Linked DNA regions of Macaca fascicularis. The protein of the gene in region 2 interacts with the protein of the main gene of each other region in a pairwise test. Links are inferred from orthologs where the notes say so. Each region holds a gene or a part of one and is shown on either strand. Other genes may lie near its edges.

Region 1 (5,688 bases), on a different chromosome or scaffold from region 2:
CTATAAGTATCTCAAACGTAACTGATGTCCAAAACAGGCCTGTTGGTGTCCCTCACACCCCACTCTGTCCCTCCCCTTGTTTATTTCATCTCAGTAAATGACACCCCCACCGCCTACTGGGTGCTGAGCCACAAACAGTCATCCTTGATTCCTCTCTTTCCCTCACCCTCCACATCCAATCCATCTGCAAGGCCTGTTAACGCTAAATCACAAAACAAAAGCTTAATCTTTCCACTTCTTTCCATCTTCCTGCTGTAACCTAAGCCACCATTCTCTGTCTCCTGAACCACTGCAAAAGCAACTTACCTTTAATGTTATATGAATAGTCATTTTAAAATAATCCTGTGGTAGGCTGGGTGCAGTGGCTCATGCTTATCATCCCAGTACTTTGGAAGGCCAAGTTGGGAGGATTGCTTGGCCAGGAGTTCAAGACAAGCCTGGGCAACATAGAGAGACCCCATCTCTACATAGAAATTAAAAATTAGCTGGGACACATGCCTGCAGTCCCAGCTAGTCTGGAGGCTGAAGCAGGAGGATCACTTGAATCCAGGAGTTTGAGGCTTCAGGGAGCTGTGATCACACTCTTGCACTCCAGCCTGTGTGACAGAGTGAGACCCTGTCTCTAAAAATAATGATAATAATAATCCCATGGCACGATCAGGTGGTGGGGAGAATAGCAAAGAGCATTGCAGAGGCAAGTCTGGTCATATGGTTAGTTAGTTGGTGGAGCTGGGTGAAGAGCACAGTGAGGTCACTCTGCTAGTCTCCGTCCCTCTGTAGATGTTTTACTTTTTCCATAATAAAAAGTTGTTTCAAAACAAAAAAGGAACCACTTCACTGGGTCTAGTTGCTTCTACTCTTGACCCTCTACAGTCCATTCATTCCCCATGTGATAGTTTAGAAATGTAAATCTCAGGATGTCCCCTCTCTGCTTAAATCCTCCCAGTGGCTTTTCATTGCATGTACAACATCCAAGCTCCTCATCAGGTCATGAGCCTGGGTGAAAAATGATCCTTGCCTGGTTCTCAACTTCATCCTGCAACCCTACCCCTCTATCATATGTCTCATATACAACTTCCTTCCTTCTCCCAACACCTCCAGATCTGTCTTGCTTTAGAGCCTTTGCTCTGGCTGTTTCTTCTGCCTGGAATATTATTCTCCAGGTCTCCAGGCAGCTGAGCTCTTAAGGCCACAAAAGCTGAAAAATGACTTTCTGAGACTAGACCTGGCTGACTATTCTTAGGCTTTATTACACTTCCCTGTGTCATTTCTTTGCAATCTGATCTTTCTCCTTCATTTGTCTTTTCCCTCTATAAGGTAAGCAGGGACATGATCAGTGCTCAGCAAATATTCCTTTTTTTTTTTTTTTTTTTTTTTTTTGAGATGGAATTTTGCTCTTGTTGCCCAGGCTGGAGTGCAATGGTGTGATCTTGGCTCACTGCAATCTCTGCCTCCTGGGTTCAAGCAATTCTCCTGCCTCAACTTCCCAAGTTGCTGGGATTACAGGCATGCACCACCACACCTGGCTAATTTTGTATATTTTTAGTAGAGATGGGGTTTCATCATGTTGGTCAGGCTAGTCTTAAACTCCTGACCTCAAATGATCCACCCACGTTGACCTCCCAAAGTGCTGGGATTACAGGCATGAACCACTGTGCCTGGCCAGCAAATATTCCTTGAATTAAGAAATAAAATAAATTACATTAATGAGAAGTAGAGCTAGGCAAGATCACCTTTTCCTTTAGTAAGACTGTCCATGCTTTTTCCTGTAGCAGTAATAAGCCTAAGTTGCACAAATACCTGAAAGATATCAGAACCATCATACTTGGTTCCTACCTGGGTTTCCAGGGAACTGGAATTGAAGAAGGTTTACAACTAGATTGGCACTCACCATACAGTTAGGCTAAACATTAAAGTTGTTTTTAGATAGTGATTTATCAGAGCAACAGAAGATAAGCCCACCTCCCATTTAGGTATTTGTAAAGCATCATTCACTTCCAGTAGAGGATCACAGTGAGTAAAACATAAGAGCTACTGGGATAGATAAATGAATCGGAGAATGGAAAAATTAGAGCAAAAAGAGAACAGAAATTGAGGACTAGATAAAGTATGGAAACAGGGTGAATAATGCAGAAGAAGAGGAATTCACAATGCAGCAGAAAGGGGGTAATCAAAATAAGATAGATGTAGGCTGGGCATGGTGTTTCATGCCTGTAATCTCAGCACTTTGGGAGGCCAAGACAGGAGGATCTCCTGAGGCCAGGAGTTCACTACCAGCCTGGGCAGCAGAGCAAGACCCCATCTCTATAAAAAATATACATAAAAATTAAATCTCAGAGAGCTGATCAAAAGAAAATCCCACTCACTTTCCTTACAGGTTAGGGTGCTAGAGCTAGAAAATGAATTGCAGAAGGAGCGTCAAAAACTGGGAGAGCTTCGGAAAAAGCACTACGAGCTTGCTGGTGTTGCTGAGGGCTGGGAAGAAGGTGAGCTGACTCCAAGGACGGGCACTAACCCACAGCAGGGAGGGGAAGCTGTGTGACAGGGCCTTCCCCTAGAATGGAACAGAACAAGGAACCCACCAGATCAGTGGCTTCTTCCTTCTCTTCTCTCCTCATGGAACCTATTTTCTCTTCTGTTGTAAATAACCTTTAAGTCTAACTCTGGGTGAAATTATGGTGAATTAAAAGCTTTTGTTGTCACCTTTTAAGACCTAAACATTGATCATAACTCATTCACTGCCATTCCCTCCCAGGCCCAGCTAGCCTTGCTAACTCCCTGGGAATTTAGTTTCTGGCCAGCAGAGAGTTGAAAAACGAAAGAATAGTGGTCAGTGGAGATCTGGCAGACAGGGACAAGTGAATTACAAGATTCTGACTATCTAGAGCCAGTGAAGGGCAACAATTGCCAAAGGATAGAAGGGATCAGGTGCTGAGAAACGGAGTGGCATGGAGTCACATTCAGCCTGCCAGCCCAGAGACTTGCCATCCATCACCTTGAGTCTATATGTTGCTGTCTGCATGTCGAAAGCAGTCAACTTGATCACAACCAAGATTGTTGACTGTTATGGGATTTGACAGACTCTGGGCACCAACCATAGACAGATCCTAGTCATTCCTAGACACCAAACTCGGGGACTAGGTGATTACACCATGGTTATAATTATAATGTATTTTTGAGCCCCCATGGTGGCAGGTTTTTTGGTTAAGTGAGTGTATGCATGCATGAAGTGCTTTGCAACATAAATTATCATTGTCTTTTAGGAACAGAGGCATCTCCACCTACACTGCAAGAAGCGGTAACCGAAAAAGAATAGAGCCAAACCGATACCCCATATGTCAGTGTAAATCCTTATTACCTATCTCGTGTGTGTCATTTCCCCAGCCACAGGCCAAATCCTTGGAGTCCCAGGGGCAGCCACACCACTGCCATTACCCAATGCCGAGGACCTGCATGACACTTCCAAAGACTCCCTCCATAGCGACACCCTTTCTGTTTGGACTCATGGTCATCTCTGTTCTTTCCCCGCCTCCCTAGTTAGCATCCAGGCTGGCCAGTGCTGCCCATGAGCAAGCCTAGGTGCAAAGAGGGGTGGTGGGGGATAGGGCCACTCAACAGAGAGGACTTCCATCCAGTCCTGCTGACTATTTGACCCCCACAACAATGGGTATCCTTAATAGAGGGGCTGCTTGTTGTTCGTTGACAGCTTGGAGAGGGAAGATCTTACGCCTTTTCTTTTCTGTTTTCTTCTCAGTCTTTTCAGTTTCATCATTTGCACAAACTTGTGAGCATCAGAGGGCTGATGGATTCCAAACCAGGACACTACCCTGAAATCTGCACAGTCAGAAGGACAGCAGGAGTGTCCTGGCTGTGAATGCCAAGGCCATTCTCCCCTTCTTTGGGCAGTGCCATGGATTTCCACTGCTTCTTATGGTGGTTGGTTGGGTTTTTTGGTTGTATTTTTTTTTTTTTAAGTTTCACTCACATAGCCAACTCTCCCAAAGGGCACACACCTGGAGCTGAGTCTCCAGGGCCCCCCACTGTGGCAGCTCCGGCGATGGTGCTGTCCAGGCCTCTCGGTGCTCCACCTCCGCCTCCACGCTGAGCAAGTGCTGGCCCACCCAGTCCATGCTCCAGGGTCAGGCGGAGCTGCTGAGTGACAGCTTTCCTCAAAAGGCAGAAGGAGTGAGTGCCTTTCCCTCCTAAAGCTGAACCCCAGCGGAAAGCCTCTGTCCACCTTCACAAGGGAGAAGACAACAGAAAGAGGGACAAGAGGGTTCACACAGCCCAGGTCTTCACAGGACACGTTTCTTAGGAGTTCCTGTGACCAGGCTCAAAAATTTTTATCACATGCTTGAATGGAACTGGTGAGATCAACACTACTTCCCCGCCGGAATGAACTGTCCATGAACGGTCTGTGTCAAGTGGGCCATCTCCCTTGGCCCAGAGAGGGAGCGTGGGAGCGATTCCCAACTCCTTTCTGCAGACGTCTGCCTTGGCATCCTCTTGAATAAAAAGATCGTTCCACCTTCTACGCAATTGACAAACCCGGAAGATCAGACGCAATTGCTCCCAACAGGAAAGAACTCTATACTTGGTTTGCTACCCTTAGTATTTATTACTAACCTCCCTTAAGCAGCAACAGCCTACAAAGAGATGCTTGGAGCAATCAGGACTTCAGGTGTGACTATAGCAAGGCTCATCTTTCTGCCCGGCTACATCAGCCTTCAAGAATCAGAAGCAAGGCCAAGGTGCTGGACTGTTACTGACTTGGATCCCAAAGCAAGGAGATCATTCAGAGCTCTTGAGTCAGAGAAAACGAGAAAGGACAGAGCCAGCGGCTCTAACTCCTTTCAGCCATATGCCCCAGGCTCTCGCTGCCCTGTGGACAGGATGAGGACAGAGGGCACATGAACAGTTTGCCAGGGATGGGCAGCCCAACAGCACTTTTCCTGTTCTAGATGGACCCCAGCATTTAAGTGACCTTCTGATCTTGGAAAAACAGCGTCTTCCTTCTTTATCTATAGCAACTCATTGGTGGTAGCCATCATGCACTTCCCAGGATCTGCCCCAACAGAACATTGCTAGGTTTTGCTACATGACGGGTTGTGAGACTTCTGTTTGATCACTGTGAACCAACCCCCATCTCCCTAGCCCACCCCCCTCCCCAACTCCCTCTCTGTGCATTTTCTAAGTGGGACATTCAAAAAACTCTCTCCCAGGACCTCGGATGACCATACTCAGAGGTGTGACCTCCATACTGGGCTAAGGAAGTATCAGCACCAGAAATTGGGCAGTCTTGTGTTGAATGCTGCTTTCTGCTTAGTATTTTTTTTTTATTCAAGGCTCAGAAGGAATGGTGCATGGCTTCCCTGTCCCAGTTGTGGCAACTAAACCAATCAGTGTGTTCTTGATGCGGGTCAACATTTCCAAAAGTAGCTAGTCCTCACTTCTAGATCTCAGCCATTCCAACTCATACGTTTCAAATTACCAATGGGGTGGCCGGGCACCACTGTACCCGTGGCTCACGCCTGTAATCCCAGCACTTTGAGAGGCCAAGGCAGGTGGATCACCTGAGGTCAGGAGTTCGAGACCAGCCTGGCTAATGTGGTGAAACCCCGTCTCTACTAAAAATACCAAAAATTAGCCAAGCATAGTGGCGGGTGCCTGTAATCCCAGCTACTCAGG
Region 2 (5,788 bases):
TCGGAGTTTCGCTCTTTTACCCAGACTGGAGTGCAGTGGTGTGATCTCAGCTCACTGCAGCCTTTACCTTCTGGGTTCAAGCGATTCTCCTGTCTCAGCCTCCTGAGTAGCTGGGATTACAGGCACTTGCCACCACATCGGGCGATTTTTTTTTTATTTGGCATTTTTATTAGGGATGGATTTTACCATGTTGACCAGGCTGGTCTCACACTCCTGACCTCAAGAGATCCGCCCGCCTCAGCCTCCCAGTGTTGGGATTACAGGCGGGAGCCACCACGCACAGCTGACAAATTATTTTTAAAATCCAAAATGTTTCTATTTCCTATTTTAATGCAGAAAAGTGTTACCCTGAACACTGACCTAATGCATCACGTATAACATGGTTCTAGGTCAACTACAAAGGGCCTCTCCACTTTGATTTTTTCATGCGTCTTACATTTCAGTATCTTTACTCTTCCATGGAAACTTCGCTTCTTTAAGCCGGATGGGATCTGAGCGAGCGCCCCTTGCTACAGGGGGGAAGCCCTTGCCTCTCAGATACCTACCTTCCCAGACACCCCCTACCAAGCTTCTTTTTTGTTTTTGAGTCAGGGTTTGCTCTGTCACCCAAGCTGGAACACAGTGGCACAATCTTGGCTCACTGTAGCCTCTACCTCCCGGGCTCAGGTGATCCTCCCACCTCAGCTTCCCAAGTGGCTGAGGCTACAGGCACACACCACCAAGCCTGGCTAAACAAGCTTCTTCCAACCTGATCCCACCCCCCTAGGAACCCGGGTGTAGACGGCCTCTCTTACCTTTGCTGCACACGCGTCGCTCCTTCCTAGCCCCAGGGGCTGTGTCATGCACATGACCAAGGCTGGCCAGTAGCTACCCAGCATCTCCTGAGCCTCATTGATTGCTCCAGTGATGGGCATGTGATCCAAGCTGAGCCAATGACAATCAACCCCAAGACCCTTGCTGAAGCTCCTTGAATAAGACGAATTGTTTACAAGGCTGGTGAGATGAAAGCCTGGAGCTGTCCGGCACCATCTTTACCAGCAGGTAGAGCAAGCCCACTGGAGAATGAATCCAAGACGGAGAACAGCAGGGCTTGGAGATGGAGACAGGTCCCTGACAGCATGGTCCGAGCTTCTGGATCCAGCCAGGCCTGAAGCTCTTGCCCTCCCCACTTCCCAGTGACACAATACATTCTGCAATGGCATAAGCCAATTCCAGTGGGATTCTGGTTTTTGCAGCATTCTGCTATTCATCCTGACTAATGTACTAGACTTAAAAAAACACAAGGCCTGGGTGCGGTGGCTCATGCCTATAATCCCAGCATTTCGGGAGGCAGAGGTGGGCAGATCACCTGAGGTCAGCAGTTCGAGACCAGCCTGGCCAACATGGCAAAATGCCATCTCTACTAAAAATACAAAAATTAGCCAGGTATGGTGGTGCACGCCTGTAGCCCCAGCTACTCTGGAGGCTGACGCAGGAGAATGACTTGAACCCGGGAGGCAGAGGTTGCAGTGAGCCGAGAACGTGCCACTGTGCTCCAGCCTGGGTAACAGAGCAAAACTCCATCTCAAAAAATAAATAAAAATTCAAAAATTAGCTGGGCGTGGTAGCACACGCCTGTAGTCCCAGCTACTCGGGAGACTGAGGCAGGAAATCATTTGAACCCAGGAGGCGGAGGTTGCAGTGAGATTGCATCAGTGTACTCCAGCCTGGGCGACAAACTGAGACTCTGTCAAAAAAAAAAAAAAAAAAGCCTGTGATTCTCCATTGGCCCAAAACAAGCACAGTCCTGCAGAACACAAAGACACAGTTGCTCCTTGAAAGATTCACAGGAAGGGAAAAATACTTCCCATTCTGTTGTAATGAATCAATACCCAAATAAGACCTGGTTCGTTTCTCAAGCAGGTAATCCTGCCCAACAGCCATGACTCATCCCAGCCCCAACCAGCCCTGAGGTTGGTGGGGCCCCAGATAACTCGCTATACCTGGGGCCGCCCCAGATTTTCCATGTTCACGTGTCTTCTCTCCTTTCACTTCTAGCTAAGAGTCCTGAGAACTCTTTCTAGAGTTCCAAGTAAACACTTTGCAGAACGCCCAACCCAGATCAACACACAGTAGATGCTCTCAGCGCACAAGGAGACATCCGGAGATCTTGCTTTTACTGAAAGTATCCAATCAAAGGGAAAAGACAAAGTTGGTCTTGACCCTTTGTATTTTTATAATTTTTTTTTTCTTTTAGCCAAGCTCTTGCTCTGTTGCCCAGGCTGGAGTGCAGTGGCACGATCATAGCTCGTTGCAGCCTCAAACTCCTAGAGTCAAGGGATCTTCATGCCTCAGCCTCCAAGTAGCTGAGATTACAGGTATGTGCCACCACGGCTAGCTATTATTTTTTTTTTTTACTTTTTATTTTTTGAGACTGAGTCTTGCTCTGTCATCCAGGCTGGAGTACTGTGGCGTGTTCTCGGCTCACTGCAACCTCCACCTCCCGGGTTCAAGTGATTCTCCTGCCTCAGCATCCCTAGTAGCTGGGATTTCAGGCGCACACCACCATGCCCAGCTAATTTTTGTATTTTAGTAGAGATGGGGTTTCGCCATGCTGGCCAGGCTGGTCTCGAACTCCTGACCTCAAGTGATCTGCCCACCTTTGCCTCCCAAAGTGCTGGAATTACAGGCGTGGGTCACTGCTCCCAGCCTATTTTAGTTTTTTTAGAGAATGGCATCTCACTATCTTGCCCAGACTGGCCTTGAACTCCTGGCCTCAAGTAATCCTCCCGCCTCACCCTCCCAGAGTGCTGGGATTACAGGCATGAGCCACAGCACCCGGCCTCACCCCCTCTTACCAAGTGCTGAGCTGGCACCCAGGACCTCAGCAGCAAAGGGAGCTTCACAGGCATCAGATGAGGAAGGCTCAGAAGGCTGAGCACAGGGAAGGAGGCTCTGTCTGCAGGACACTGAGGACTTTGGGGAAGGCACTCAGCCGGGAAGTCAGACATGACCTCATCCTAGTTGAGGTTCCCTAGAAGCAGAGCCTGTGATGGAGATGTGGGTGCATGTGGTTTTCTGGAAGTGAGGGTTCTCGGAAGAGGAGAGTAAGGAGACAAGGGGCAGGAGGAAGAACAGCAGACAGGTCCCAGCTGGAGACCTGATCCCAGGGCAGGTCTGAAGCATGAGTTTTCTGAGTCAGTCCTGCCCAGAGGCAAGGGGGCCCTGCTGAGGACCTGTCCTCGGTCAGTCGGTCCCTCTGGGCTGCCAAGAAGGGTGGGTGAGGGGTGGGAAACAGCTGTGAGCAGTCAGCGGCTACACTTGAAGCCGCCGGCCCCTTCCTTCCTCTTCTTGGCTGCACACCTGCTTTTGGGGAAGGAGCTTGTGAACCGGTTGCAGCCGGGGTGGGAAGAATTAAAGAGACACTCCTGAGCTCAGTGCTTGAGGGCCCAGGGCTTCAGAGGCCGAGGCAGCTGGGATCGAATCTTGATTCTGGGTTGACTCAAGTCTCCTGCATGGAGCTCCAGGGGCGCACAGCTCATGGGGTGCGGTACGGATCACCATGGCCATGTGCTAGGCGCTTTTTCCCCAACAGCCCGGCGCATGGCAAGTGCTCAATGAATCATGGCTTTGCAAACATCTCCAAGTGTCACAGGCCTGGCCTCTATGGTGGGAGATTTACCATCAGTCGCCAGGTGTTGGGGAGGGAAGAGAAGGAGTTCCGGTGTCTTCCTGAACTCATTCCAGCACCCACAGGCGCTGAGTGCACTTCTACCTGGGTCAGGTCTTGCTCCTTCTCACTGAGTGTGAGGCGGACACACAGGACCCCGGCAGAATGGAGGTCATGAGAGTCCAGATAGGAACCAGACCCGTGGCCTTGGGGGGATCCAGACCTCTGTGTTTGGGAGTCCTGGCTTCCCCAACTTCCCCTCCTAGCCTCAGCCCCTATGGATGGGAAAAGTACTCCCAACTGGCATGACCAATCGATTGGTTTGGGGCACAAATCTGGGTCCTCTCCGAGGAGCAACTTGGCAGGAGGTACAGGCAGTCTGGCCTTGGCCTTGGCCTGAGTGCTACTTTGAAAGTGCTTCAAACTCGCCAATGATGTTCTAAAGCCCTGATGACAAACCCCAGCCTTCCGCAGGCCCTGCTCTGGCGGGGACACCCCTTGGGCCTCATTGCAAACCACACGACCCACCTCCTGTGCCCCGCCTGCTCCAGGCACACGGGAGTCCCTGTTGCTCTACAGCTTCAGGTCTCTCGGGCGGCAGTGCCTTCCCCTACCTGCCCGTGGCCAGCTTGTCTTTTTTTTTTTGGTAGTCAGACAGGGTCTCATTCTGTCGCCTAGGCTGGAGTGCAGTGGTGAGATTAAAGCTCACCTCAGCCTCACCACAATCCTCCCACCTCAGCTTCCTAGATAGCTGGGACTACAGGCACCCACCACCACATCCAGATAATGTTTTTATTTTATTTTTTTTTCCTAGAGACAGGGGTTGGGGTGATCTCACTATGTTGGCCAGGCTGGTCTTGAACTCCTGGCCTCAAGTGATCCTCCTGCCTCAGCCTCCCAAAGTGCTAAGATCACATGCATGGGCCACGGTGCCCGGCCTGCCATTACCTTTGACACATGGACAAGAGGTAGCCACCCGTGAGTAGCAGTAGCCACGATAATAGCAATCATTTCTCTTTGCACCCGACTCATTTAAGCACTGTCTGCTTATTTTTGATATTATTGTCCCTGTTTTACATTTGCAGAAACTGAGGCTTAACAAAGTTAAAGTCACCTGCCCGTAGCATGTGGTGGATTTGGGATTTGGACTCAGGGCTGCAGAAAATAAATAACCAGGTTGCCATGGCGTAAGTGCACTGCAGGAGAAGTTGCTTACAGGTGAGGTATCAATGTCCTGTGGCTGCAATTATCACATTACCACAAACTGAGGTGCTTAAAATGACAGCAATGCATTCTCTGTTCTAGAGTCTAAAAGCTTGAAATCAAAATGTCATCAGGACCACCTCCCCCTGGAGGATCTGAGGAGGGTCCTTTCTTGCTTCTTTCTGCTTCTGATGGCTCCAGGCATCCTGGGGCAGGGGGCTGCATCACTCTGCACATGGCCTTTTTTTTTTTTTTTTTGAGACAGGCTCTCACTCTGTTGCCCAGGCTGGAGTGCAGTGGCGTGAACATAGCTCACTACAGCCACAACCTCCTGAGCTTAGATGATCCTCAGCCTTCTAAGTAGCCAGGACTACAGGCACACGCAACCACAGCTGGCTAATTTTTTTGTATTTTTGGTAGAGAGGGGGTTTCACTACATTGCCCAGTCTGGTCGCGAATTCCTCGGCTCAAATGATTCACCCTCCTCAGCCTCCCAAAGCGCTGGGATTACAGGTGTGAGCCATGGTGCCCGGTCACCACATGGCCCCTTCTCTCCCGTGTGTCTGTAGCTTAAAGCTCCTTCTTCGTTTTTCTTAGGCAGACACCTGTCATTGGGTTTAGAACCCACCCTAAATCCAGGATGATTTCATCTCGAGATTCTTAACTTGATGACATCTGCAAAGACCGTATTTTCTTTCTTTTCTTTTCTTCTTTTTTTTTTTTTTTTTTTTTTTTGAGACAGAGTCTCGCTCTGTCACCAGGCTGGAGTGCAGTGGCAGAGCCTCGGCTCACTGCAACCTTCGCCTCCCGGGTTCAAGCTATTCTCCTTCCTCAGCCTCCCGAGTAGCTGGGATTACAGGTGCGCGCCACAATGCCCGGCTAATTTTTTTGTATTTTTAGTAGAGATACGGTTTCACCATGTTAACCAGGATGGTC
Region 3 (5,688 bases), on a different chromosome or scaffold from region 2:
TCCATATTTTTTCATACAGTATCAAATTCTGTTCTGTCAAAGAGTGTTGGTGGTGCAGCATTTCTTAAAAGAGCTCTCCAGTATTTTCTCCAGGATTTTGTTCCAAGCCATTAACACTCATTCTGTAAGTTTTTATGCTGGTATTCACCAACAGCAAATACTTGCTTTACTCATTCAAAATATTCCTTCTATTTTGGTGCTATTCTGAATACATGATAACTTCTGTCAGTGCCGATTAATGGTGTAATTTTTTTGAAGACACTTAATGTGGTAATTAAGCCTGTCATGTATGGTACAACAGTGTAGCCAGGCATTCAGTTGAAGTCATGTAGACTACATGTGCAGGAATGTAGTTGATGCCTGGCTGTCAGCAATTGAAAGACAGATCCTGATTTCAGAGATGTTAAAATGGAAAAATGTGTGCTTAGCTAAAGTCAGGGAAAGAAGCAAGGAGTGAGATTCAAAACTCTTGTCTGGTATCATGGAAAGGTTTTCTTTATTTCTTTACTTTTTTTTTTTTTTTGAGACGAATTTTGCTCTTGTCGCCCAGGCTGGAGTGCAGTGGCACGATCTCGGCTCACTCCAACGTCTGCCTCCAGGCTCAAGTGATTCTCCTGCCTCAGCCTCCCAAGTAGCTGGAATTACAGGCATGCGCCACCATGCCCAGCTAATTTTGTATTTTTAATAGAGATGGGGTTTCCCTATGTTGGCCAGGCTCGTCACAGACGCCTGACCTCAGATCAGGCCTCCCAAAGTGCTGGCTTTACAGGTGTGAGCCACCTTGCCTGGCTTATTTCCTTTTAGAGATAATACTAAATAATAATCAGGCCAGGCACAGTGGCTCACGCCTGTAATCTGAGCGCTTTGGGAGGGTGAGGCAGGGCCATCACCTGAGGTCAAGAGTTCCAGAGCAACCTAGTCAACATGGTGAAACCCCATCTCTACTAAAAATACAAAAAATAGCCCCGGCACAGTGATGTGCACCTGTGGTCCCAGCTACTCAGGAGGCTGAGGCAGGAGAATCGCTTGAACCTGGGAGGGGGAGGTTACAGTGAGCCGAAATCATGCCACTGCACCTCCAGCCTGGGTGACAGAGCAAGACTTTGTCTTTAAAAAAAAAAAAAAAAGGTAATAATTATTAATCATATTGATTGACTTTCTTTTGGTGAACTCTCACTTTTTATTGTTTTCAAGAATTTCAGGGGCCTTAGTAAAACTGGCTCATAACCCTCAAAAACTAGAAGGGGATAGATAAAAAAGTTGTGGGTTTTTTTGTTTGTTTGTTTTTAAAGAGTCTCACTCTGTCGCCCAGGTTGGAGTGCAGTGGTACAATCTTGGCTCACTACAACCTCCACCTCCTAGGTTCAAGCAATCCTCCTTCCTCAGCCTCCTGAGTAGCTGGGATTACAGGCATGCACCACCACTCCTGGCTAATTTTTGTATTTTTAGTAGATACAGGGTTTTACCATGTTGGCCAGACTGGTCTTGAACTCCTGACCTCAGGCGATCCACCTGCCTCGGCCTCCCAAAGTGCTGGGATTACAGGCGTGAGCCACCACACCTGGCCAAGATAAAGAAGTTTTTTATATAGTCAAACTTTGTGGGTGTAACTGGTTACTGACTTCCCTCTTATGAAATAACCTATCTCCCTCTGTTACATAAGCAATATGATTAAAACTAATGAAATATTTATGTACGTTATACTCAGAGAGGAGGGGCAATTGCAGCATATTTTGTATTTTGCAGGATTTTATTTTATTTTGTACTTTTTGTTCCTAACGCTTAGTTTTCTCAGGCTTTTTATTAAATGATAATTTGATTTCATCTGAGAGTTTACTCTTTATTTCTAGATGTCAGGATTTCAGTGGTTCTTTCAAAAATAATCAGCTCTACTGCTTACTCTGTGATTAATTATTTTCCCTAGGCCTCAGGATCATTCAGCTCAGCAAACAAATACCGCTGGAAGCAATGTTACCACATCATCAACTCCTAATAGTAACTCCACATCTGGTTCTGCTACTAGCAACCCTTTTGGTTTAGGTAAGTGTCTTTAGTCATCTCCATAGGGATGGGAAAAAATACTCCTTTCCCTTCCTGGGTAGCTTCAGATAAAATGAGAAAAGAAAACGTTATGTCACTTTAACAACAAAAATTTAAAAAAAAACTTATATATTCCTATAATTGTAGATATTAAGGAAATAGGTAGGGATATGGATATTCTTACATATCAGTTGGTGCCTTTCTTTTTAATAATGAAAGAGATGTAGTGTGTGTGTACCTGATCTGACTACCACATAATTTAGTATGAGTAAGATTAGCTGGTTATTTATTTATTTATTTTTTTGAGACGGAATCTCGCTCTGTTAGCTGGTTATTAATCATAAGCCAGCGTCCCTGAATCATAATTTTTTCATCAGTAAAAGGAAAGAATCAGACTGCATTAGTTATTTTGTAACTGTCCTGAACACATGGAAAGGGGTCTGGGAAGCCAGCCTAGCCTAAAACTGCTTTTGCTTTTATTATATTAGTTTTGTTTTATTTTTTAAGAGAGGCAGGATCTTGCTCAGTCACTGAGGCTAGAGTGCAGTGGTGCCATCATAGCTCACTGCAGCTTCAGACTCCTGGCTTATGGCGTCCTGCCTTGGCGTCCCAAAATGCTGGGGTTACAGATGTGAGCCACTGTGCCTGGCCTGTATTAGATTTATATATTGAGGTTCTGTGGAAGATTTTTTTTTTTTTTTTTTTTTTGAGACAGAGTCTTGCTCTGTTGCCCAGGCTGGAGTGCAGTGGCGTGATCTGGGCTCACTGCAACCTCCACCTCCCGGGTTCAAGCGATTCTCCTGCCTCAGCCTCCTGAGTAGCTGGGATTACAGGAGTGTGCCACCACGCCCGGCTAATTTGTTTGCATTTTTAGTAGAGATAGGGTTTCACTGTGTTAGCCCAGATGGTGTAGATCTCGTGACCTTGTGATCCCCCGAAGTGCTGTTATCCATTATCTTTTGATAATAGATAGCCAAACTCAGTGGCTTATTACAACAAAGCTTCATTTCTTGCTACATTTTTCTGCATGCTACTTGCTTTTTACCGGTTTGTAAGGTGCCCGTCCATATAGTCCCTCAGAGACTCAAGGTAATGAAAGTCGTTTTTCATTCTGCTGTATTATAGCTCTACCGTTTGGAACATGGCAGAAGAGACAGCTAAAGGGTTTTAAGTTGAACCTGCTATACTTTGACCAGAAGTGGCACATACCATTTCTTGTAGTCCTTTGGCATTTCACATAGGCCTGTCCAAGTGCAAAAGAAATAATAAGGCTGCAAAATGAAATGTTTGGTGAGCACTGCAATCTGCTACTGTAGTTAGTCATACTGAAGTTTTTGTGGTTTCAAGAATGCATTAATACATTTATCTCTGTGCTTTTTGTATATGGTGTTCATTGTGCCTAGTATTCAGTCCCCCTCCTAACCTTCTTTACGTTTCCTTGCAAAGTATTTATGCTCCAGACTCATTAAGTGTTGTCTCTTCTTCTGAAAGTAGGCATTCCACTTAGGTTATATTACCATAATATCCTGTGAATATTCTTTACTGAAGTACTTAACATCTGTGTAGACATTTATTTTCTTGTCTGTCTTTCCCACTAGATTGAGTTCTGAGAATGTCTTTCTCTTTGCCTTATTCTCAATACATGTGTAGCACAGTCTCTGGCATATATAAAAAGTGCTTAGTAAGTGAGGAATGAATGCATTTGGTTGGTTATGTAATTTTACAAAGTAAACACTTTGTGATTACCAAAGTAAGCACTTGGTCATCCTGTTGCTCTGTTAGGTTTCTCCTTGGTTTAAGTCCTCCAAAGAGAAATCTATTTCCAAGTGTTCCCTGGCATTCTGTATCCTTGATTGGCAGTATCAGCCCTCTTGTACCCAGAGTTTATAGGTGAATTCTGCTTCCTGTTAATAGAACTTAAACTAGTCTTTTGGAAAGATTATTAGAACTATAGTCTGGTGTGTGTATTTATTATTTCTTCCTTTAGCTGGCATATTCTGGAGTGTTTTTTTCTGACACCAGCCAGTTGTCCAACACCAGCTCTGTGTCCAAGATTCAGTTTCTTTTCTGATACTGCCTACCTACAGTTAGTATCCGATCTCACAAGTTAGCAGACTTAGTCCTACAAGACTGCCCCTACTTCAGATACTAGTCACAAGTTCTAGGCCACCTGTACTTCTGACTGACCAGTTCTAAATTGGGGGTTCCCCTGACCTCCTCCTCAGGTTCAATAATTGCTAGAATGGCACCTGGAACTCAAGAAAACACTTATACGTTTACCTGTTTATTATAAAGGATACAACTCAGAAACAGACAAATCTTGAAAGAGAATTATAAGGGCACAAGGTATGTGGGGCATGGAAGTTCAGCTCAAAGGTTCCAGGTCCCCTCAGCGCACAACTCTCCTAACACTCAGATATGCTTTTCATGTTGAGTTTTCTTAATCTTATTGTTCAAGAATTTGCATAGAGCTCTATCTCCAGCTCCCTTCCCTCACTTTCTTGGTGGGTGGGGCTGAAAGCTTCAGCCCTTTAATCACTTTGTCTTTCTGGTGCCCAGCTCCTTTCTGAGGCTATCCAGGGGCCTAAGTCACTTCATTAGCATAATTTTCAAAAAGGGCTTGTAATGAATAATAAAAGATACTCCTGTCACTCAGAAAATTCCAAAGGTTTTAGTAACTCAGGATCAAGGAGAAAGACCAAATATATTTATGTATTATACTACACACATGAAAATATATTTTGTTGATTTTATTACTTAAATTTAATAACCAAAGTGTAAATTTTTGGCTAATTTCAATGATAGGAATTAAATATTAGTAATAGGTATTCGGTTTGTTTTTAAATGATTTCTTGTGATAGACTGTTGGGTCAACTAATACTTTTTTGCATCTTCATAGTTTATGTCATGTTAATGATAAATTTTCTGACTTGGTTTGTATGTTTTTGCCCTTTGTCTTCTTAGGTGGCCTTGGGGGACTTGCAGGTCTGAGTAGCTTGGGTTTGAATACTACCAACTTCTCTGAACTCCAGAGTCAGATGCAGCGACAACTTTTGTCTAACCCTGAAATGATGGTCCAGATCATGGAAAATCCCTTTGTTCAGAGCATGCTCTCAAATCCTGACCTGATGAGACAATTAATTATGGCCAATCCACAAATGCAGCAGTTGATACAGAGAAATCCAGAAATTAGTCATATGTTGAATAATCCAGATATAATGAGACAAGTATGTGGAAAGTTCTTTCAATTTGTTTAGCTAAAAAATGATATATTTGTTATGTAATTTTCTATGATTAACGAGATTATCCTATATGTATGGTTAAGCTAAAGAGAGAAATCCTTATCTTTGTTTAAGAAAACTCAACAAAGCCCTAATTTGGCTATTTGAACTCTGAATTTTCTGTTAAATTGAGGGATCTTTGTAAATAGTTTATTTTAAAGGATTAAGAATCAAAAAGTCCAATGTTGGAGATGTGAAATTCACTCTTAACGAAGTGCTTTCTTCTTTATGTTATTTGAATGCTAAGTTCCTTTTTTGAGGTGAAATACACCAGGGATTATTTAAAATAATCTCCTGCCTTGTATATTGAATACAAAATTGCAACAACTCTAAAGCTTTAATTGGTTTTTATTTGTGATTCTAGAAT

What was found.
Region 1: the proteins of LITAF (region 2) and HIP1 interact in binary tests that used the Homo sapiens proteins (3 or more experiments, as listed by UniProt). The link is inferred for Macaca fascicularis from reciprocal best matches to the Homo sapiens genes LITAF and HIP1.
Region 3: the proteins of LITAF (region 2) and UBQLN1 interact in binary tests that used the Homo sapiens proteins (3 or more experiments, as listed by UniProt). The two-hybrid records come from large-scale screens. The link is inferred for Macaca fascicularis from reciprocal best matches to the Homo sapiens genes LITAF and UBQLN1.

Annotation. Positions count from the first base shown.
Region 1 is NC_088377.1:52,094,603-52,100,290, forward strand, and holds part of HIP1 (huntingtin-interacting protein 1), read left to right. Parts: intron 1-2,377; coding exon 2,378-2,486; intron 2,487-3,263; coding exon of another isoform or gene 3,264-3,316; exon of another isoform or gene 3,317-3,754; coding exon 3,755-3,831; 3' UTR 3,832-5,688. UniProt on the Homo sapiens protein: Plays a role in clathrin-mediated endocytosis and trafficking. Involved in regulating AMPA receptor trafficking in the central nervous system in an NMDA-dependent manner. Regulates presynaptic nerve terminal activity.
Region 2 is NC_088394.1:12,312,166-12,317,953, forward strand, and holds the start of LITAF (lipopolysaccharide-induced tumor necrosis factor-alpha factor), read right to left. Parts: upstream 2,951-5,788; 5' UTR 2,838-2,950; intron 1,056-2,837; 5' UTR 795-1,055; intron 1-794.
Region 3 is NC_088389.1:114,293,008-114,298,695, reverse strand, and holds part of UBQLN1 (ubiquilin-1), read left to right. Parts: intron 1-1,924; coding exon 1,925-2,040; intron 2,041-5,004; coding exon 5,005-5,267; intron 5,268-5,688. UniProt on the Homo sapiens protein: Plays an important role in the regulation of different protein degradation mechanisms and pathways including ubiquitin-proteasome system (UPS), autophagy and endoplasmic reticulum-associated protein degradation (ERAD) pathway.